Linked DNA regions of Astyanax mexicanus. The protein of the gene in region 3 interacts with the protein of the main gene of each other region in a pairwise test. Links are inferred from orthologs where the notes say so. Each region holds a gene or a part of one and is shown on either strand. Other genes may lie near its edges.

Region 1 (7,313 bases), on a different chromosome or scaffold from region 3:
ATCTTATAATCAAGTCATAGCAATGATATAACTTCCTGAAGGAAATGTATGATGGATGTATGATGGACCCCGATCGCTAAGATCATTACGGTATTGTTAGGTGGTTGTTATTCTATCCCAGGTGGTTGCTTTGTTGTTACTAACTGGTTGCTAAAGTGATGCAGAAGTCTTTTTTGTGTGGTGGTTGCTATGGTGTTCTTTTAGATTTTCTGCCCTGGGGCTTTTAATTTGAAACCAAAAATGGATAAATAGCCTATCGGCTAACTATTGAATTTGTTGTGATTGTACTGGATCTTTTTTGGAGTTACTGCTTTTTCTTTATTTGTGAGAGAGAAAGAGGCCATGTCTCCACTGTTTTACTCCCAGTATCCCATAATTCACAGTGACAGGGCAATAACTTGGGATTTGATCTGACAAAAAGACAACGCAAGACCCTAAAACACAGTGGCTCTCAAGTGGAGTGGGAGTGTGTTTGAGGATAGAGAGTCAAACATACAGATTTATACAAAGAAGGTTATGGTTAAATTGTTGTGTTACTGTGAATAATCAAAATATATAAGATAAGAAAGATAAAATGTATTATTTCCACATTTTACACAAAATGAATGTACAATTGTTACATTTTTGGTAAACAAAAAAAAATCTCTCAGAACATTACAATAACTGATGTGGTGCACTACTAGGGCCAGATAAAATCTTTTTTTTAGCAAATTTGGTGATTTAATTTTCTGTTTTTTTCATCACATTTAGGATTTTTACTATTTGAATAGTGTTGTCAGGCAATTAAAATAATGAATCCAAGTACTGTGGTTGCTAAGGTGTTGCTACATTGATGCAAAGGAGTTGCTATGGTATCTGTGGTGATTTCTAGGGTGCTGTTAGGTGGTTGCTATGTGGTTGCTACATGGTTGCTAAGTGGTTGGTAGGTGTTTTGCTATGGTGCTATGGTGCTATGGTGCTAAGGAGTTGCTATGGTATCTGTGATGATTTCCAGGGTGCTGTTAGGTGATTCCTAGGTGGTTGCTACATGGTTACTAAGTGGTTGGTAGTCTTGCTATGGTGTTGATAAGTGTCCATGGTGATTGCTGTGGTGTTGCTAGGTGATTGCCAAGGTGTTGTTAAGTGGTGGATGATGAATGCATAGCTAACATGGCTCATATGATCGTTAAGATTGTTAAGGTGTTGTAAGGTGGTTGCTGTGGTATCCCCAGTGGTTGATATGTTGTTGCTAACTGGTTGCTAAGGTAATGTAATGAAATTTGTGATGGTTGCTATGAGGTTGCTAAATGGTTGTTAGGTGGCTGTTAAGGAGTTGCTATGGTATCAGTGGTGATTGCTACGGTGTTGCTAGGAGGTTGCTAGGGTGTTGATTAGTGGTTGCTACATGGTTGCTAAAGACTTGCTTTGGTATCTGTGGTGATTGCTAGGGTGCTGTTAGGTGGCTGCTATATGGTTGCTGGTTAAATTGTTGTTTTACTGTGAATAATAATTTTTTATAGAAGATTTTCCACAAGATTATTGTATAATTGTTCATTTATTGTAAAATTTTAGAGCTAAAAAAAGAAAATAAAGGAGCAGAATGCAAAGCTTTGGGCACATGAGAGATTTGAGCTCTCAGGCTACTTTTACTGAAAGGCTTAATTAGCTGGCTAGGGCTGTGGCTTGTTCACAGGTGATGTCAATTACAACAATCAGCAGCCATGAGCTCCTCTAAGTAGCTGCAACTCTCCAGCACTAAGAACATACCCTATAAGGCTAAGAACAAATTCTTGGCTATTCCTAAGAGCTTGGGTTTGGAATGGTTTTAAGGGTGCATTAAAAAAAGGACGCAGCTGATGTATCCTTTCTTGCAGCCTTTGGTTATGCACAGTTCTCCGCACATATGCACTGCAATGCAAAGGGAAAAATGGCTGTTCTGTGTGTGTACTGTGTGGCTCTGACACACAGCCTAGCAAAGCTATTTTTAAGTAGTCGTTTCCTAAGTTTTAAGTTAAGGCCTGGAGGAAGACTTCAGGAAGATTGATCAGGCTCTGGACTATGATCACCAAAATGTCATAAAAAAAAAGGCTTTACTGTGTCTTCATCACTACAAAGTTCAGCACCTGAGGTTCTTAAAGGAGCATCTAAACAAGCCTGATGAATTTTGGAAGCAACTGGAAGAAGGTAAAACATCTAACTTTTAACATTCTGCAAAACATGGGTGCAAAAAGTGTGTTCTAACAAAGCTTTTATGTAAAAAAAATAAAAACAGTTATGTTTCATGTTACTTACCAATAATGTTAAATGTTACATATTAAATTTACAATATCCATGCCTGGAAATATCGTAATAATATCGTAATACAATTTAAAATACCCCTAAAATAGATCATACCTTGTTATCTCTTGCTTCACTAATATTTTTAGTCACCTGGCTTGCTTCTTCATTAACATTGTAACTGTCACTAAATAAAAGTAGATGCTACCTAGCTTTTTTACATATACTTGCTAATTGCCATCAGTAAATTTACAATTCCACTTTAAATACTGCTGTCCTGACAGACAAGCTTTTGGCTTGTAGGCACTTTGAAATAAACATCTTTGGCTTTTAAGGTGGAACAGATCATGCAAATAAGAATCCAGGTTTAGGTTTATATGGACTGTTTGTCATTTCTGCACATAATGTAAGCAGAAATGTATAAAAAAAGTCTTAAAGTATATAAAACATATACTACAGGTCAATATCATGCATGCACCATTTTAAGGTGGAAGGGAAATATATTTTAAGGTGGAAAGGACAATGTGAATAATATATTGAAACTGAGTGTTGCTCCCATATATGAGTACTTCTACAGTTAATTCAGATAACCATGCAGTGAATCTCAATACACTGATGTTTAAACATAACAGTTAATGTTCAGATTCTTTTACATTTTATTATTTAGATTGTTTTGTGTGGGCTATGCCTTTAATGTAGCAATGTACTGTGTAGTGGTATGTGCTTAAAAAGCTGTTGATTTTGCTGTATAATATATATTCTTTAGGACCCCTGACTTTAATAACATTGCATTACATTACATTTAGCGGACTCTTTATCCAAAGCGACTTACAAATAATGATGTACATTTAGCAACAGATGACATAGAAGTTCAATACAAACAAAACATTTTAGGCAGGGCCTAAAGGAGGCCAAATGGAAATAGAGGGGTATAGGAGGAAAGGAGGGAAGGAAGGAAACTGGTTTTCCTTTATATAGTGAAGAAAAACCTGACCCCAATTATCATTATCATATATATCATAAATAGTATATCATGCATATATACAGCTCTGGAAAATAAGAGACCATTTAAAAATGATGAGGTTCTTTGATTTTACCAATTGAAAACCTCTGGAAAATAAAGAGGAAGATGGATGATCACAAGCCATCAAACTTAGCTGAACTGCTTGAATTTTTGCACCAGGAGTGGTATAAAGTTATCTAAAAGCAGTGTAAGACTGGTGAAGGAGAACATGCCACAATGCATTAAAAACGGTGACTAAAAAAACAGGGTTATTCCACCAAATATTGATTTCTGAACTCTTAAAACTTTATGAATATGAGCTTGGTTTTTTTTTGCATTATTTGAGGTCTGAAAGCTCTGCATCTTTTTTTGTTATTTCAGCCATTTCTCATTTTCTGCAAATAAAAGCTCTGAATGATAATATTTTTATTTGTAATTTAGGAGGAATGTTGTTCGTAGATTAGAGAATAAGAGGTCTCTTCATTTTTTTTCCAAAGCTGTATATATACATATATATTGCAATGCACACTCTTAGATGTTGCTCTCCCACCATTTATTTCCTTAAAGGGCTTTTTTTTAGGCTTTCTGCGCATTATTCACGCAGCTGCAGAGAAATACCCGCATATCTGTAGACGCAAAACCAGCAGAGCTCTGCTTTCACCAGCATAACAGAGAGAGAGGATTTGGGTTCCACCCTAACCCTCTACCCCCCAACCCCACCCCCCTACTCAACGCCCCCCATCCAGCCCCCCATCCCACCAACCTACTTGCCTACCCACCCCAAAATTATATACACACACATGCACACATATTTATATATTTATGTACTTTGACCATCTTGAGCTAAAATTGCGCACAGGCGCGAGCTAAGCCGTGCGCCACGAGGGCTCCAGGAGGGGCCAGGAACTGTCACGCACGACTCGGGGACGCAGAGCGGGTCGTCACGAGAAGTGAATCATGCTGGAATTTGTGTGCGTGGGTGTGGGGGGTGGGGGGAGAAGTGGGAGGGTAGGTACGGGGTTCTAACATTAGTGCACCGTTAGTGCGTCCTACTTTTTTCCCTCCACGCACGCTGGATTATGATGCGACCTGCAAAAAAATAAATTAAGCAAAGCCTTAATCCGGCTCGCGGGCGCGCAAACTCGCACTCTCTCCCGCTCTCTCTCTTTCTCCCCACCTCCCCGCACAGCTCGTGCGCGCTCGTGCAAGGGTCTCTCCGGCAGCACCTCTCTGGAAGCATGCAGTGACCGGAGAGCTGCGCAGCTCCACCGTCGCGTGCGCGAGAGGCGGCGGCGTGCATGCGCTGCGTAATAAAAAAGGCAAGGCGAGAAAGGGCGCACCGGTGGCGCGTGTGGACTTTTATTGCGCAGCGCCGGGATTGGGAAAAAGAAAAGCACGCTCACTTCGCTTCTGTGCGTCAGATTTGTTTTGCATGCACGCGCGCTCGCGTACGCAGCTGCGCTTTTTACAGCAGCAACAGCATCAGCAACACCAGCATCCAACATCCAGCGAGGACCTGAGCGGAGCTTCCCGCGCCGTTCCCCCCTTTTCTCCCCTCCTCTCCCCCTTTATTTGTCCTCTTCCCTCCCTCCATCACCCCTGGATGGGCTCGGTTTATCTTTCCTAGCCGCAGACAGCGTCGTTTTCGCGCCATGGCTTCGCACGGCTTTTGGTCTCTGGGCGCCCAGAACGCGGGAGACAACAACAGCGGCTCGAGCACGCGTGAGTACAGCGGAGGCTAATTTTTAGCTAATGATTTATAACAAAAAAATAAAAATATATATAATAAGGATCCAAAACAGGAAGCATAAAGGCTTAAAATGCTTAAAACAGCGCTAAAGCGTTTATTTCGTGTTTTATTCGTTTTTTAAGGTGTTTAAATTGTTTAAAGAGTTTTTAAATACGTCCCTTATTTTTTCGACCAGAAATAACGTTAGTTACTACGTTTCTTACAATCTAAAATTCAGATTTTAATATTTTTGTATCTATTTTTCTCGTTCGCTTTAGCTCGGGCTTGGTGCCAAGCGGCGGCCCAAAAATTCGGAGGAGGCATCGGCTCGAAATTATGTGGTAAGATCATTTATTTATCACCAAAAAGAGGCGCTAATCTTTATTATAAGACTATATAAAATAGTAGTGACATTTTTATTGTGGTTCTTATATATATTTAGTGTATTTATAGGCCTACATCACAAATTTAAATATTTATATATCAAATTGTGAAGAAAAAAAAGTATATAAAATAAAATAATATAATGTAACGTTAATTTGAAGCGCTGCTGAATGTCGGGGAGATGGAGAAGGGCGCAGACCCCTCTGCAGCTAAACAGGGAGAAGACCCTCTGGCGGAGAGCTGCAGCTGCAGTGATAAACCATGCATCTGCTCCAAAGCCACGGTGGGCTTCTCTCACCTCTATTCAACAGGTAAACATTATTCTGGGATGTATTATTATTTTCCTTTTTCTTTTTCGTTTTTTGGATGCAGCCGGATTAGCCAAGCTAACCTACACATCACGCAAGGTCATGGCCATATCTAGCGAAATTATTATTAAGCTTTATGTATAGTGCAACATTTGTCTGTTTTAATGTATATTTATTTGGGGGTTTTATTTTGTATTTATTTCTGTGTTTATGTGTGTATTTATTATTTACTAATTTCCCCGTCATTTTCTGTAAAAAGTGCCTGTTTTTCCTTTGAAAAAAAAAAACAAGAATATATTTATATTTTCTATATATATGTATTTATATATATTCTAAAAAGGAAGTCAACATTATATACACAGAACGTAGCATACATCTTAAAGTACAGTGCATGTGTGTATGTGTGTGCTCTCGCGTGCGTGTCTGTGTGTGTGTGTGTGAATGCGCGCGTGTGTGTGCGTGTCTGCGTGCGTGCGGGTGTGTGTCTAGAAATAGATATGTATTAATAATAATGTATAATAATGTATAAAGCCTACCAACTAAATGCATGCATGTGTGTTTTATTTTTTTTCATTCGCGTTATAATGGGGCTCCTGTTGTTTAAATGTTTCATTTATTTATGCATTTGTTTTATATTTATGTCTTACTGGTAATTATTAATGATTAACGATCATTAATACGTGATTAGATGTACAGTTTAAGAAAGAAAATGATTGTAAATTATATGTTTTTTTTTTTAACTGATATGAGATTTTTTGGGTTTGTTTTTTATAAATCCTGATGATTTGGGATTTTTTGGTAAAGCATTATTCATTTATTTGACTTATTTGATTTATTTAAAACCAAAACTGATTTTGCTAAAACTGAGATTGCCGTTTATCATTAATTCAACACATTTCGCCGATGTTCTTTTCTGATGGTATTTATTATCATATAATAATCGTTATAATAATCTGGGTTCGGTACAGACCTGCTCCCCGCGCTGGACGGCGATATGAAGACGATGAATTTCCTGCAGGAGGTGGTGGATATATTGCTGGCCTACATCGTGGAGTCTTTCGATCGATCCACCAAGGTGATCGATTTCCACTATCCGAACGAGCTGCTCCAGCGGAACAACTGGGAGCTCTCGGACGAACCGGAAACCCTGGATGATATTCTGATCAGCTGCCGAGCCACCTTAAAATACGCCATTAAAACCGGTAGGAGAAATGCTGGAAGCCCTTTTTATATTTTATATACTGTATATATATATATATATATCGTATAGCCTATTTGTAGAATTATTGATTTATATTATTCCTTTCAGAGCTGAATTATGTTCCAGTGATTCATACTAAAATATAGATTATTTGTATTTTTGTTAATTGCAGTGTAATCATTTGTGTAGCATTCTCGTTTGTATTTCATATAAATTTTATTTAGCTTTTTTTTTATTCAAAAATCATCCCAAAGCGGTAAAAAGAACTCAACATGATTATTTGATTTTGTGCAATGCAGTGGGCGGGGCTAAGCTGCTGTTTGATTGGCTGATAAATGTTAATTCTGTTGGACAACAGGCCTCAGTGTGTAATAAGTGCAAAAATACACAAGAAATAAGAAAACCGATTTTCTCAATTGCAATGGACGCAAG
Region 2 (7,554 bases), on a different chromosome or scaffold from region 3:
CATTGTTGCATTTAGTTAAAAGCAAAGGCTAAATTCAATCTGTCTAGTCAAGTATGGTCAATGTGGTTGTCTTCGGAGCCATATGCAACAGTCTCAGGTGAACTTTTTACTAAGCCTTTAGTTTCAGCCCAGCTTCACCTTAATGTCATTAATCTAGGCCTGTCACGATAACAATATTTCAGATACGATATATCATTGCAAAAACTATATTATTGTCATTTAAAGACAATGTAAATGCCACCGATATAAAAGAATATTATTCATAATAGAATAGCATTACAAAGCAATTATATTCGTTTAAAGACAATACATTTTAGACCTGGGTCTTTCTGTGTGGAGTTAGCAAGTTCTCCCTGTGTCTGCATGGGTTTCCTCCGAGTGCTCCGGATTCCTCCCACAGTCCAAAGAGGTCACGTTCAGACTAATTGGATATCGGATAAAATTGCCCCCTAGGTGTGAGTGAATGTGTCTGTGTTTGTCTGCCCTTGTGATGGACTGGCGGCCTGTCCAGGGTGTAAACTGCCTTCTGCCCGATGCCACCTGGGATAGGCTCCAGCCCCCCGCGAATAAATCGGTTGACGATGAGTGAGTGAGTGTTCTGGACATTTAAATGGAATTTAAATCCCACATTCAGCTGTTTATACAGTTTGGAAGCGATAAAGAAAGCAAGAAACAGGAGCCGTACTTATAGAAGGCAGAGATATGGTATAGAGAAATAATTGTTGACTAATCAGAAAAATAATTGTCAGATTAGTCGACTACCAAAATAATCATTAGTTTATTCGTTTTAAAGCTGAATTTGCATATGTCCAACTAGAGCTTAACCCCACTCAGTCAATGAACTTATAAAGAGTGTTTTAGGCCATACTGCTTCTTTAATCAGCTGCACTACAACAAAGCCAATCACATCAAACCTTGTTTACATGAATCAATTAATCAATTACAGGATACAGGTGTAGATGAAACAAAACCCTTTTTCTCTGCAGTAAAATAACATTTACATTCTGAGAATTTGAGGGCTTTGAAAATCACCTACAGGACACTTAGAGAAGCTGCCTGTTTTTTCTCTACTTTAGTTAATCAATTCAGAGAAGTGACAGTAAATAAACCTCAATTTTAGAAATAGACGTTAAAACTAGATAACCACAACGAAACTAAAAGGTTTGGAGACCATGATATTATTGATTTGCATTCAGGAAAATTTTACTCATTATACTGACAGGTTTTTAATTATTTCTATTACAATTAAAATAAAAATGTTGTAGTAACGTTTATTATCAAACATGAAACCTTTTTATGTAATGCTTCAATATAAGTCTTCAAGATTTAGGTGTGTAATATCAGGCAAAAAATTTATAAAAATCCTGGCCTGTTAAGGAGTTAACTAAACTAGGGTAGGTAAGTATATTGAACCTACACCACGAAAGTTGTGTTTCTTAAAGAAATAACGTTAACTACATTTAAGACAGCGCTCAAATTTTACATAAGATACAACAACCCAAACTCTTCTAGTGCTGATTACAATGCAGATATACATATAACGTTAGATAGGCAGACAGACAGTTATAGCTCAACATTTGTGTGTAAAAATGTGTAAATATTAGCTAGTTAGCTCTGTGCTAGCTCAGGGACTGTGGGTAGTGAGGCGAAGCTAACCAGCAGCAGAAGCTCAGCCGCTTGTTTTGCTAACGCTAATCGCTTCACTCAATAATAAGACAAACTCAAACGAAGCTAACTATCTGTCTAATATGACATTTTAACAACAGAAGAAAGCACTAACACCTGCCCACAATACTCACAATAAGAAGCTCATCCTCTTGTGTTAATGTTCTGCAGGCGGGGAGACTTCAGGCAGCTCCCAGCTCAGCTGCTGCTTCTTCTTCTTTAGGGGGTTTTATGGCAGCAGGCTGGTCTGGAGCGCCGCAGCTCCGCGGATCTACAAGCCATCTGCCCAGCCTGGGTGTGTGTCAAATCATTCACAGTGCGCCCTCGATCACTTCCCCTTAAAACAAGGCATTTATAAGATACGTTACCAAAGTGCTGTGCCTATACATGGGCCTATAGTGCTTTTCTCCCTCCCCAAAACACATTTTCTAAAAGCCATAATGATTATAATGTTATATTAAAATGTCACTGTTGATAAATTTGGGATGCACGGTATCTTGTTTTAGCTGCATATATTCTTGTATATTAAAGATGCTAATATATGCAAATATATTAAAGATGCTCAGTTGGGACATTTTGCTCGAGTTCTCTGTAAGGATCATCTTCATATGGCTACATACATCTGCTTTGTTCTTGCTGGAATGTGATGTTAAATGTTCAGATGTGATGGATCCATAAACCAATAGGGTAATGAAATGGTATATGTTTATACTTCTCATCCAACCACAATCAAATTCACAATCAAATTCTCTGCGGCTCCGATCATTGTGGCAGCGGGCTAAGCTGGTCGATCGCTAGTTCAGATTCCTTTATGTAGCTTATCATCAGCTGCCTGATCCCTGAGGGGGCACAGTTGGCCTTGCGCTCTCTATGGGTGGGTAGATGGCGCTCTCTCCCCATCACTCCAAAGGGTGACGTCACTCAGCACAAGGTGTCCGTGAGCTGATGTAAAAGAATCGCTGCACTAACCTCTGAGCATACTGGCTACTCGGCAAAACTGCATTAGCAGCAGTTCAAAAAGAGGCGGTTGTTCAGAGGAGGCATGTGGAGTTTGGAGGAGGCATGTGCTAGTCCTCATCCTCCTGGTGTTGGGGCATTACTAGTAATGGGAGAGTCCTAATGAGGGGGTTGGGTAATTGGCCTTGTACATTGGGGATTGGGGATTGTATGTAGAGATTTTTTTTGAACGAAAAAAGAGAAGCCAGAATTAAAACAAGCTGAAATGAAATAAAAGTAACAAGGCTACTTTTAAAATGTAAGTAGTAGAAAGTACAGATAATTGTGTGAAAATAAGGAGCAGAAGTAAAAAGTTATCTGAAAAAATATATAAAGTATAGATAAACAACATTTCTACTTAAGTAAGGTAAAAAAAGTATTTGTACTTGAAAACACCCCTGTTGCTGTTAAATAACCTGCTGATCAATCAAACACCATCAAATGAAAAGTTAAGCAGTTCTTACTTACTTCTTTTCTTACACCCAAACAGTAGTTCACTACATAGGGCATAAGGGATCGATTTAAGATATACCTAGTCCATTTTCGCTCTAAATCATGGGTTCAACTCTCTGTTTTCTACTAGATTGGGGCCTAGGGGGCGAATTCAAATACACACAGAACCTCTTAGGATGGTATACAGATTACTTGTGAGTCTATGGTAATGACAGTTCTATAAAACTATAAATTGTGCATGGGGAGTGTGCATCTGCACACACTTGTGCAGACACTGTCACAAATACATACTAAATTATTAACAAATACTAGTATTTATTATTATATAACATCACATAGACCCGTTTTGTTTCTGGGATTAGCAATTTAAATTAAAAAGGATTTTTTTTATACTTTATGTAATGAAATGCACAAATGAGTCAGTGTTCTTTAAGTAATGATTATTTTCTCTATATACTTACTGTAGATAAGATAAGAAAAATCTAAGATAAGAAAGATAGGAAAATTTAACTTGATATGATAAAATATCTATATATTGTCCAGCTTTAGTCCCATTTAGGCCCTATGTGCATTTGTAGTGTACAATCTACATGGAGGCAACCTATACCCAGGGAAACAGTACCATTCAAATGTGTGGAAACACCTTCTCATTGAATGTTTTTATTTTGTAAACTGTAAATGAATACTCAATCAACCAAACTATAAAGGAACACAGAAGAAATCATAAAAGTAAAGTGTTAAACAAACCAAAATGCTCTGTGACGCTATTAACTTGCAGCTTCTGAGACTGGTAACTCTGATGAACTTATCCTGTGCAACAGAAGTAACTCCTGGTCTTCCTTTCCTAGGGTGGTCCTGATGAGAGCCAGTTTCATCATAACATTTTGATGGCCTTTGTGACTGCATTAAAGGATACTTACAAAGTTCTTAAAATATTTCGAATTGACTGACCATTTCTTTTTTTTTCGTTACTTGAGTTGAGTAGTTTTTCAACGCACACAAACTTTACCTCTTCACAACACAACTGATGCTCTCCAATACATTACGAGGACAAGAAATTCAGGTAATTAACTCAGCACATCTGTTAACTGAAAACTATTCCAGGTGACTCCTAAAAAATAAAAACACTAAATTTAACTTTAATTTCACTGGCACTGTGTTATCTGGGTGGTGTTTGTTTGTTTATTTATTTATTTAGAACTTCATTACAAATATTAAAGAATTGTAAAATATTTTTTTGAAATTTGTCAATGTTTGAGATTGGTAAAAGTTAAAATGGTAAGTTCAGTAATTTATATTTAATTTGTGCTGAATTAAAACTAACATAAAACAAAGAAACAGAGCAGGTTTTACAACAGACTGCGCAAATGAGGTGGACCCTGAAGCCCGTGAAACAAATGACGTTGCAAAGCGACGTATCATAGACTCCGCCCCCACTGCAACGCAACCGAGGGAACCTCCGAGATAAGCGGCCAGACAATGGACCACTAAAATACACCGATACAACAGTTAAACTGGGGCTGTAGCTGCTCTGCTAGAGACAGAACCGGGTCAGAATTACAGCGGCGGACACGGCGGAGGGCGGAGGGCTCTGTGGCGGGGAAGTTGTGGGTTCGGTTCGGCTGTGTGTGTTGGTGTCTGTGTGATGATGATAAAGCAGGACGGGGGCAGATAGACAGATAAACAGCTCGGTATTCCTCACTTTTCCTTCCTCTGGATCTTCACCACCGGCTCCGGAGGCTCGTTAACGGACTGCCCGGCTCGCTGGCCCTCTCCCGGACCTGTCACTGGAGCTGTCCGCTACTTTAACTCGAGCCGCACCGGAGAAGGCAGGCATTGTGCGCGGCTGATCTGTGGCGGTGTGAATAATTAAGCAGTAAGATGAGCTCAGAGGAGGCCACAGCTCCCCCCAAAGCAGCAGCAGCAGCAGCCGCCGACGAGGATGGCATGTCCTGGTGGTACCGGTGGATCTGCAAAACCGCAGCTGTGCTGGGTGGCCTCGGTATGTGTGCTTCTTCTGACTTTTTTAAAAATCATATTACTAAAATATATATATATATATATATATATATATATATATATATATATATATATATATTTACAGCTCTGGAAAAAAATAAGAGACCAATTGCAAATGATGAGTTTCTTTGATTTTACCCATTTAAAATCCTCTGAAATTTAATCAAGCTGAAGATGGATGATTACAAGCCATCAAACCAAGCTGAACTGCTTAAATGTTTGCACCAGGAGTGGCATAAAGTTATCCAAAAGCAGTGTGTAAGACTGGTGGAGGAGAACGTGCCAAGATGCATAAAAACTGTGATTAGAAACCAGGGTTATTTCACCAAATATTAGTTTCTGAACTTTATGAATATTAACTTGTTTTCTTTGGATTATTTGAGGTCTGAAAGCTCTGCATCTTTTTTGTTATTTCAGCCATTTCTCATTTTCAGCAAATAAAATTGCCTGAAGGCTCACACGCTTGCCACACACGATTGTGTTAGCATTTGTTTTATCATATTTGTGACAGAAATATTGAACATTGGTGAAATGTGTGGCTTTTTAGGACACAACAGTTGTAACAGTTATGGTTACCCATAATTCGGCACATGTACAGTGCTAATTAAAACAAATATATTTGCAAAAATAATTCCTTTTTTATGTAGAAAAGAAGTGTTTCTGTGACGTTTGAGTGTGAGGTCACCAAAAAAGCTTCATTAGACAGATATAGACATAATCCCAAAAACATCTGCAATGTTGTCGCAGGTTCACACTACACAATTTTAGCCCAACCAACAATTTTTAATTGATCACTAAAAAATCGGTGATCACTCGGCGTTGCTCATCCTGTTGTGTGAACTATTGAAAGACGCTCACCAAGCCTGATCTCCGACCAGCCGCAGGTGCTCGGCAGATTTTAGGCATGCTAAATATCTGACCCAGTCGGCGACTGGGAGTCAGGAGCAGTGGCTACCCACAGCCAATGGGATCACAGAAAAAGAGAACCACAGGTTCAAAACACATCTTCTGCATGGCCAGAGCTGTTTATGGAAAGTCAGACCACTTTCTGTTTCCCTATAATATCAGTAAAATACTGTTAAAAAATAGACGGAGCTTGCGAGTGAGTCTTCTATTCATGGGGGTGAATTCTAAAAGCTAAATATTTTAATTAAAAATAGTGATTTACTGCTAAATACTAGTCTGAGTAAAGCAAAAAATGCATGCCTGTAGACTTCCATTTTTCTACAGCAAACGTAGTTTAGTCAGTAAAGACCCTAGCATTACTGCAATGAGCTAATTGGTTGTTTAGCTAGAGCACTGAGTTTAAAAAGCTTAGAACCGGAGTTTAAAACCTTAAAAAATGGTGTCCATGGTACTGAAACATTTGATATAGTTCTGTTTTGAGGACATAAGTACATATTTCAGGATAAAAATGCCCAAACATTTATAAACTCAGTCACATTTATTTTACTCAGTTGCTTTATAGGAACCCCTTCATGTTGGATGCATTGCGATTATTTTTTTACGGTTATTTTCCTCTATGGAAATTCTCTTTTTTGGAATCTTTAGTTTTGATGTGCGTTTAGTTCTGGCATGTTCTTATGATAAATGTGTTTCTGTAAGGTGAGTCTGCGATTTTCCACAATAAGAAATCTTGTATTTTGTAAAAAAATTTTACTGTAAAAACTGAAGCACTCATAATTACAGCACAACCAGTCACGTGTGAAGAACAAAACGAATGACAACTTAAAAAATCGTGTAGTGTGAATCTAGCTGAATCTAGGTGGAGTCAGACCCAACTACTCATTTTATAGGCCCGCCCCTTCTCCCAGAACAAATTTCAAACCGCCTATGTTGAGTTTATACTGCAGCCCAAAAGAGAAGGAAAGCAGTCAGCGTTTTTTTTACTGATTGGGTGAGGCGTGTGCAGAATTTTGTGGAAACTAATGCTAAGACAGTTAATATTGTGTTAAGATTTAATTTTGGCGTATTTGTTACTGAAATAAGAAAATTGGTGAAATGTGTGTCTTCAAGAAAGTACACATTTGAGTTCAGGCTTGTTTACAATGTGCCATTGCTGTAGGTGACACCAACTGTATATCATATGAATGCATTGGTTCCATTTCATTCCGTACTGTAGAAATTAACTTGAAATGAGAAATGAATTTCTTCGCCACTATGCCATAGAAGGCTGTTCCAAAGTTAAGTATCCTCTGAGAAATATACAGCCGAAAAATGCAGCCGACGTTCAGAGGTCGCAGCTGTCCTTTCCAGCTCCTGGTTATTCAAAAAGTCTCTGCGCATGTACAGTGCGAGTCAATCTTTATCTAAAAAAGGTGTGTAAATTGTAAATAGCACAGCTTCTGGATTTTTCCAGTGCTTTTGAAAAGAAACCGTAGCACCTGAGGGGTTTGATTTGTATGATTATGAAATTACTAA
Region 3 (7,683 bases):
TTTTTAAATATCAATGTTTTTGCAAAATATTGTGATATTATTGTAGAGCCATATCGCACACATATATATGCTGAATTTCTTTTGCACACCAGTAAACACTGAATTAAGCTCAGGGAGCCACACAGAGCCGGGGCTTTGTGAGAGCAGGCCTGGTCTGGAGGAGGTGGAGGCGGCGGGGGTGATGGGGGTGCTGGGGGCAGTAAGCAGCTGCAGCAACAACACAATGAGGCTGAGCTCAGGCTGCAAGTAGCATCAGTACTCAGTCAGTACTCAGTAAGTACTCAATACTCATTCAGTACTCATTACTCAGTCAGTACTTATTACTCAGCCAGTACTTAGTCAGTACTCACTACTCAAACTCAATTTATACTTTTGCGTCAAACCTAAGCCATAGCCTACATGTCATCCAGCGAGAGTGGATCATCGGTTCTGCGTCGCTCTATATTTTGAAACCATGAAGGCGGGAATGTGTGGGAGGGGACTCGAAGATCGGCAGACCAATCACAGCTGCAGCTGTCTGCATGCACGACACATAGTTACATTTCCAGTGAGGTGCACGTCAAGCTACGGCAAAGGCTACGGCATAGACGCAGAAGTATAAATTAGCCTTTAGTCAGTACTCAGTCAATACTCAGTCCGTAATCAGTATTCGGTCAGTACTCAGCGCTCAGTCAGTACTCAGTCAGTATTCAGTCAGTACTCAGTACTCACTCAGTACTCAGTCAGTACACAATACTCAGTAATCACTCAGTATCAAGTACTCAGCACTCAGTCAGTATTTAGTACTCAGTACTGAGTCAGTATTTAGCATCCAGTACTCAGTCAGTATTTAGTACTCAGTATTTAGTCAGTACTCAGTTAGAATTTAGACAGTACTCAGTACTCAGTCAGTATTCAGTACCCAGTGCTCAGTACTCAGTCAGTATTTAGTACTCAGTGTTTAGTCAGTACTTAGTTAGTATTTAGACAGTACTCAGTACTCAGTCAGTATTCAATACTCAGTCCTCAGTCAGTATTTAGTACTCAGTATTTAGTCAGGACTCAGTTAGTATTTAGACAGTACTCAGTGCTCAGTCAGTATTCAGTACTCAGTGCTCAGTACTCAGTCAGTATTTAGTACTCAGTACTCGGTAGTTAGGTAGCTAAGGGAGGATGCTTCTGGGCTGTTATAGTTAACTATAGCCCGGCCTGCTCCGCTCACCTCCTCCGCGTGTTTCCTCAGCGCTTTCTCCCGCTCGTACTGCGTGATGAGCTGCTCGTTGTCCTCCTTCAGCAGCTCCAGCTCCACTTCGTGCTCCTGGTTCTCCGCGAACACCGAGTCCAGGTTCTCCAGCACGGCCACTACCAACGGCATCAGCTCCTTCACCACGTCCTCGTCGTACTTGCCGATGAGGCGCTCGAACTCGCGGTAGATGGAGCTGGCCAGGCCCGACACCCGCTCGGACATCATAGCCGCCGTGCCCGTGTCGTCCTGGTACACCACGCCGTCCTCCAGCTCCATTTTCCCGGCTTGCCTCGAGTCCCTTCGCCGCTACTGACGTGCCCTAGATTCGAAGCTCCGGGCGGGCGCAGTTAAACTCCTTCTAAAACGCCGAGAACGGCTCAAAACGGGCGGATACTGAAAGGGAAAGAGCCTGGTCTTACTTTTCCGTCCCCAGGCTTGCCTGTTTTCCCCGATTTCCCCCGTCTTTCTGCGTTCTTTCTCCGTGTTTTCCTCCGCCGTCTCCCTCTCTCTCCTCACAACGGCCGAGCTGTTGACCAGAACCAGGGAGCTGGTGACGTCACGCCCTCCTCACTATACAACACAGCACGGCGTTCACCATTCAAATGAACAGCATTGTTTGTCTCCCTGTTTCTTTATGGCTGTTTTTAGCCTCCAGACCGTGTCTAGCTTAAATTTAGCCTCTCCAGAAGACTCTTACCGGTTTAGCGGTGCTGGAGAGCTCGGTCTACGTGTCACATACAGTAGAAGCTAACCATCCATCCCTCAGCTGACTGAGTATCAGAGAGAAGTCCCGTTTTTTAAAGGAATATCACAACCATAAATAGGCCTAGCTGTTGAAGCAGCTTTGCAAACTGATTTAAATTAAATTAGTCATGCAAATTGTTTAAAATCATAACATCTTACAAACCCAAAGTAACAGAACTTTGAGAATTTGTTTAATTTAATTCTAAAACAATTGTTCCAGCTGTACAATTACACATTGTAACAGTTTTGAAAATCACTGTTACAGGTAGAGGTTGGCGATATGTCCTTAAAATAATATCACGATATTTCATGGTATTTTTGCGATAACAATACTTTTGTTATTGATATGACAAAACATTTAATTAAATAAAAATACGTCAAAAATACACTACTGCAACAAAATGAAAATTAAATTTTATCATTGCATACAATATCATATGGCACACCCCTAACTGAGATATTAAAAAAATACAACAATTTTATCAGATTTGTAGCAAGTCAATAATACTCCAGAATGTCATGATACTAATAATAATGCACTCCAAATATCTCCATATATCCAAGACGAAAATTAAATTAAAGTAATATAAATTATATGAATTTGTCTTTTGCTAAAAACAGCAGAAAATTAGGACCTTAATGTGATAATTGGGGGTGGGAGATATTTCAGACGATATTTCAGGATATAATATTGTTAGCAATATTGAAAAACATTGGTAATATTATTGCATATGATATTATATGGCACACTCTTACAGAAGCTTTGCAAATTGTAACAGATTAACTGTTAGAAACTGTAACAGCTTTCAAAACCAATGTAACAATATTGCGAATTGTTACTACCTTTCTGGATTTTACAAGCTGGAGCAGCTTTGCAAATTGATACAAATTAAAACAGTTGTAACAATTGTAACAATTATTCAAGTTCAAAAGCTGCCCTAGCTTGTAACATTCAGCTGTAACAATTTTCTAAGCTGTAACAGTGGATTTCAGACTTGTTACGATGTGTAATTATACAGCTGAAACAATTCTATTTTTTTTACTGTTACTTCTCTCCTGGATGATACAAACTGGAATAACTTTGCCTGTTGTCACAAACTAGAGCAAACTGTTAAATAATTTCTACAGGCTGTGCAGAGCATTATACATGGTAATAGATTTACAAAACAGTTACAAACTGTTTAAAAAAATTAACAGGTGTACAAATGATTGGCGTTTTTAAAAAATTTGAAAATGATTGTTACAATATTAAGAACAATGTTATGAACAGTGCCAGCTTTATAAACTGTATAAATAATAATAAATATATTACAGATTGCCACTTACTTTTTCAAATTTGCAAACAACTTTACAACTTCACTGAAAGGTATTTTATTATTTTAAAGTTATTTTTATTTTAGAGACAAAATAAAGTGCAAATTGTTTGTAAAAATGAAAAAAAAATTCTGAATTGCATCCTGGTAAGATTTACATTTTGTAGTCCAATACATCTCCAAATAGAATGAAAACTGTATTGGTGGTGGTGGGTGGAGGGGGTCGACATAATATTTTATTAATAAGCCAAACCACATTGTTTTCATATCAGGAACAAAGTATATCTGCAACAAAATTGAGAAACTAAGCGGACCTACAGTGCTACAGAGAAAGCTCGGGACACGTCAGATTTACCAGTTGCCAGATTTAATGGTTGCCAGATGTTCCTTGGAAGAGGAAGATCATAAAATGTATAAAGAACTTACAACGCCAAAGCAGAAAAGTTTAGGACAATATGGAAAATGAAAATACAAAATACTGTGTTTCTTGGATTTCCTTACTTTTTTTGTTCATTGCAAATACAGTATTTTTTTTTCTGTTCAGCTTCATTTCATTTATTAATAAACATCCATCTATGCATTTTAGGCCTTCAACATATTCAAGATATTGGGACATTAAAGTTATTTTGCAATATTGAAGTATGTTGATTTAAATCTGTAGGTGGAATGTAATAGTTTTTTTATTAATGAGTAGTTACTGTAAAGGAGACTAGTTAATTAGTAAGTAGTTAATTTGTAAGTAATTCTAGGCATAGACTACAGGAATCATGTTAAACTTTTAATTTCTAAGTACTATTAGACATACTTCTTTTATTTATTTTATTTATTTTAGATTTACCTTTTGTCCTTTATATTTTTTTTCTTATTTCTTCATTTTAATTATTTTATTTTAAAATTTTAATTAAATTTTTAGTTTATTTATTTGTTTATTTTTATTTTTTTTGTTTTTACCTTTTTATTTCTCCCTTATATTTATTTTATTTTCTGTTTGACCTTTTTTATTGATACCCTTTACCCTTTTTATAATCTTTATAAATGTTTGTCATATTATTTTTTGTTTGTGTTTGTTATTTTATTTTGCTATTGCTCTAATTATTTATCTTTATTTGACTGCTTTAAAATTTGAGCCTGTCAACTTTATTATGTCCTTTTATTCTGAATTATTTAATTTTTTCTTAATTAAATCATAATTGTTTGTTTCTTTTTCTAATGCCTTTGCCATTTCATTTTTATAGTTTGGTTATGAACCCTTTTTTTTAGAAGTTGAAAATAAAGGTTGATTGAAATAATACAGTACGTGGCGCCCCCTCTGTACACAACCTACTTACAGCTGTATTGTACAGCGTGGATATCTGGCAACCCAGTTTCAAACTCACGTTTGTTTCTAAAGAAAGGAAGTGTCGGTTTTAATGGAATCAACAGGTACCTGGATTACTTTACTCATTAAAACATTACAGTCTGGACTAATAACATGGTGCTTAAGGGAACGTTTAGCCAGGTTATTGACTGTAACACCCAGGCTGGTCAGATAAATAACCTACCTTGTTACCTTTTTGAGTTAGCTAGCAAGCAAGCTATATAAGTTATTGTCGGATTTGCTTGTTGTTAAAGAGTTTAATTTTGCATTAGCTGGCTACATTGTTAGCTAGGAGCAATGGTTAGGTCTGGGTAGAGTGAATATTGCAAAACTTTTACTAAAATAATGAGTTGGTTTGTAGCTAGTTAAACTGTGTAATCTCAGCTGCAGCAGCTGCTTCTTCTTCTTCAGGTAGTGAGGTAACAAACAGCAGAAGCAACACAGCCCCACAACTAACCAACTAACTAATAATTAAACCATTAAATATTTAGTTAAAGACACATGTCATGGTCTACAGCTGCAGATATATTCATTTTGTATGTTGTACTGTTATATACAAGCTGTCTGACTGCTCTGTCCTTGCCACCCAGTGTAGGTGTAGGACAGGGCAGGGTGGCAATGAACCTCTGCTGCCTACAGGGACGCTGGAGCTCCAGGGAAACTTCACACCATCATGGAGAATTTACACTGTGACCCAAGGGTGAGATATCTTTATACAGTAGATTTACCCTAAATTAAGACCAGTGATAAAAATACTAACTCAGATTTGTCTGGTAAAAGCTCGAATTCAAGATATTTATTATATACTGTAGTTGATAATAGTAGAAGCTCTTATTTAGGATACAATCTATGAAATGTTTACTAGTGATAAAATCAAATCAAATCAACAAGATGAAACAGCTCTGGAAAAAAAATTGACCACCTAAAATTATGAGTTTCTTTAATTTTACCAAACTGAAAACCTCTGGAATCACAAGCCATCAAACCAAGTTGAACTGCGTGTATTTTTGCACCAGGAGTGGCATAAAGTTATCCAAAAGCAGTGTGTAAGACTGGTGGAGAAAAATATGCCAAGATGCATGAAAACTGTGATTAAAAACCAGGGTTATTCCACCAAATATTGATTTCTGAACTCTTAAAACTTTATGAATATGAACTTGTTTTCTTTGCATTATTTGAGGTGTAAAAGCTCTGCATCTTTTTTGTTACTTCAGCCATTTCTCCTTTTCTGCAAATAAATGCTCTAAATAACAATACTTTTTTTGGAATTTGGGAGAAATTTATTGAAGTTTATTGAATAAAACAACTATTTTTATTTTACTCAAACAAATACCTATAAATAGCAAAATCAGAGAAACTTTTTTTTTTTCCAGAGCTGTATATCCTGTAATTCTCACTAGTTATATGCTGTAAACCCACAGTTAGATTGAACTCAAACAAATTAAGTCTGTTTTATGTAAAATTGGATAGTTCCAAATATTACTTAACTATTCAAACAGAGATCTTTGAGTTGAAGCAACTTAATAATAATTAAGTTTAGTCTCTTGCCATTGGCAGCTTCTTTTCTTTTCATTGGCTTCTGGCAGAATGTATTTGCATTCTGGGTGTCCCCCCCAGTTTCTGACACCACCCCCCAGGACCTTAGGTAAACTTGTAGATAATATATTATGATTAACTGTCAGGTTTGTGTGTTATAGGCTGTAAGAACTTTTGGAGATGCTGCCATTTTTGGAGCTGCTGACTCTGTATTAGTTGTGCACTATACTGTCCTCTCTATAGATCTGCTTCAAATTATTGTGCAAAACAATTGACATGTAATTGTCAATTGATATTGGATGTGTCAATTGATAGTTGAGCAAAAAAATAAAAATAAATGAAATGTACTTTTAAATTAGGCATAATAACAAAAAGATTTTGGTCTAATTAACTCAAGTGTTCAGTTAACATTACTTTAAGATCTTAAGTCAACCGGTTTCCTAATTAAACTTATCCAGGCTTACAATGTTTATGATTATTGATGTACACAGAGCCTCATTTTCTCTTACGTTGTGTCCACTTACAGATATCTTATTACTACTTTATAACTGGTAGAAACTGAATTTTTTCCAAATCTTGCCAAAAGTATTCACTCACCCGTGTTAATAATTAGAGCTGTGAGGTTTGGATGGAGCTGCTCAGCCATGGAAACCAATTGTTCAATGAAGCTCTCTACACTCTACTGTTCTTGAGCTGATCTGAAGGCCACAATAAATTTGGAGGTGCACTATGCTCCTCAGCATCCGCTGACCCCGCTCTGTTATTTTACACTGACAGAGCACAGAGTCACTGTCGTTCCCAGTCTTTTTCACTGTGTTATAATATCACTGACAGTTGGCTGTGGAATATTTAGTAGTGAGTAGGAGTTTGATGATTTGGATGGGTGAGCGAATACTTTTGGCAGCATAGTGTATCTACACTGTAATTCAGACAGTAAAAACAGTAAATGAGACAGTAAAAAATTTGCAAATGAATTCTGGGTAGTACGTATACTAGATATTTAAGATATCTCTAGTTTGGACATACCCGTTAACCACAGCCACTGCAAATAAATGTATTGATCTCCATTCTTTTAGGTTGAGGAGCTCTTAAACACTAAGCTGGGGAAGTACCTCAGTGAACATCCCTTCTTAGCAGTGGTGCTGCTTGTGTTCGGTGTAACATCTGCACTTCCCATTGGTCTTTTCCTGATATTTGCTGCTGTTACGTCTATTGCTGTTACAGTATCCTTCGTGTTTGTTGAAGGTACGTAAGAAGTGGAATATTGAAGTGGAGTAGGACCCCCAATGTCGCAATATAAGTACTGCTCTGATTAATATTTTAAAACAATGTAATTTGCTTTTTAACACACTTTTGATATTTCTCATTCAAATTTGGCCAAGTATATTAGTATTATTGTAGTTTTCCATGAGTCACACAGGTGTTAAATTGCTCAGTGATCAGCAAAGAGGGTCTCTTTGTAACTGCCCTACCTGCAGTTTAGGCGTTTACAACACTGGGTGTACACA

Evidence for each region.
Region 1: the proteins of lipid droplet assembly factor 1-A (region 3) and gad2 interact in binary tests that used the Homo sapiens proteins (3 or more experiments, as listed by UniProt). The two-hybrid records come from large-scale screens. The link is inferred for Astyanax mexicanus from reciprocal best matches to the Homo sapiens genes LDAF1 and GAD2.
Region 2: the proteins of lipid droplet assembly factor 1-A (region 3) and cacfd1 interact in binary tests that used the Homo sapiens proteins (3 or more experiments, as listed by UniProt). The two-hybrid records come from large-scale screens. The link is inferred for Astyanax mexicanus from reciprocal best matches to the Homo sapiens genes LDAF1 and CACFD1.

The regions. Positions count from the first base shown.
Region 1 is NC_064413.1:51,300,830-51,308,142, reverse strand, and holds the start of gad2 (glutamate decarboxylase 2), read left to right. Parts: upstream 1-4,288; 5' UTR 4,289-4,911; coding exon 4,912-4,981; intron 4,982-5,266; coding exon 5,267-5,329; intron 5,330-5,533; coding exon 5,534-5,683; intron 5,684-6,648; coding exon 6,649-6,882; intron 6,883-7,313. UniProt on the Homo sapiens protein: Catalyzes the production of GABA.
Region 2 is NC_064424.1:25,766,777-25,774,330, forward strand, and holds the start of cacfd1 (calcium channel flower homolog), read left to right. Parts: upstream 1-4,529; 5' UTR 4,530-4,995; coding exon 4,996-5,116; intron 5,117-7,554. Other genes in the region: mob1bb (MOB kinase activator 1Bb), read right to left, coding at 1,800-1,813. UniProt on the Homo sapiens protein: Transmembrane protein which mediates synaptic endocytosis and fitness-based cell culling.
Region 3 is NC_064426.1:28,065,650-28,073,332, forward strand, and holds the start of lipid droplet assembly factor 1-A, read left to right. Parts: upstream 1-4,600; 5' UTR 4,601-4,704; intron 4,705-5,229; 5' UTR 5,230-5,312; coding exon 5,313-5,339; intron 5,340-7,251; coding exon 7,252-7,420; intron 7,421-7,683. Other genes in the region: spag9a (sperm associated antigen 9a), read right to left, coding at 1,202-1,501. UniProt on the Homo sapiens protein: Plays an important role in the formation of lipid droplets (LD) which are storage organelles at the center of lipid and energy homeostasis. In association with BSCL2/seipin, defines the sites of LD formation in the endoplasmic reticulum.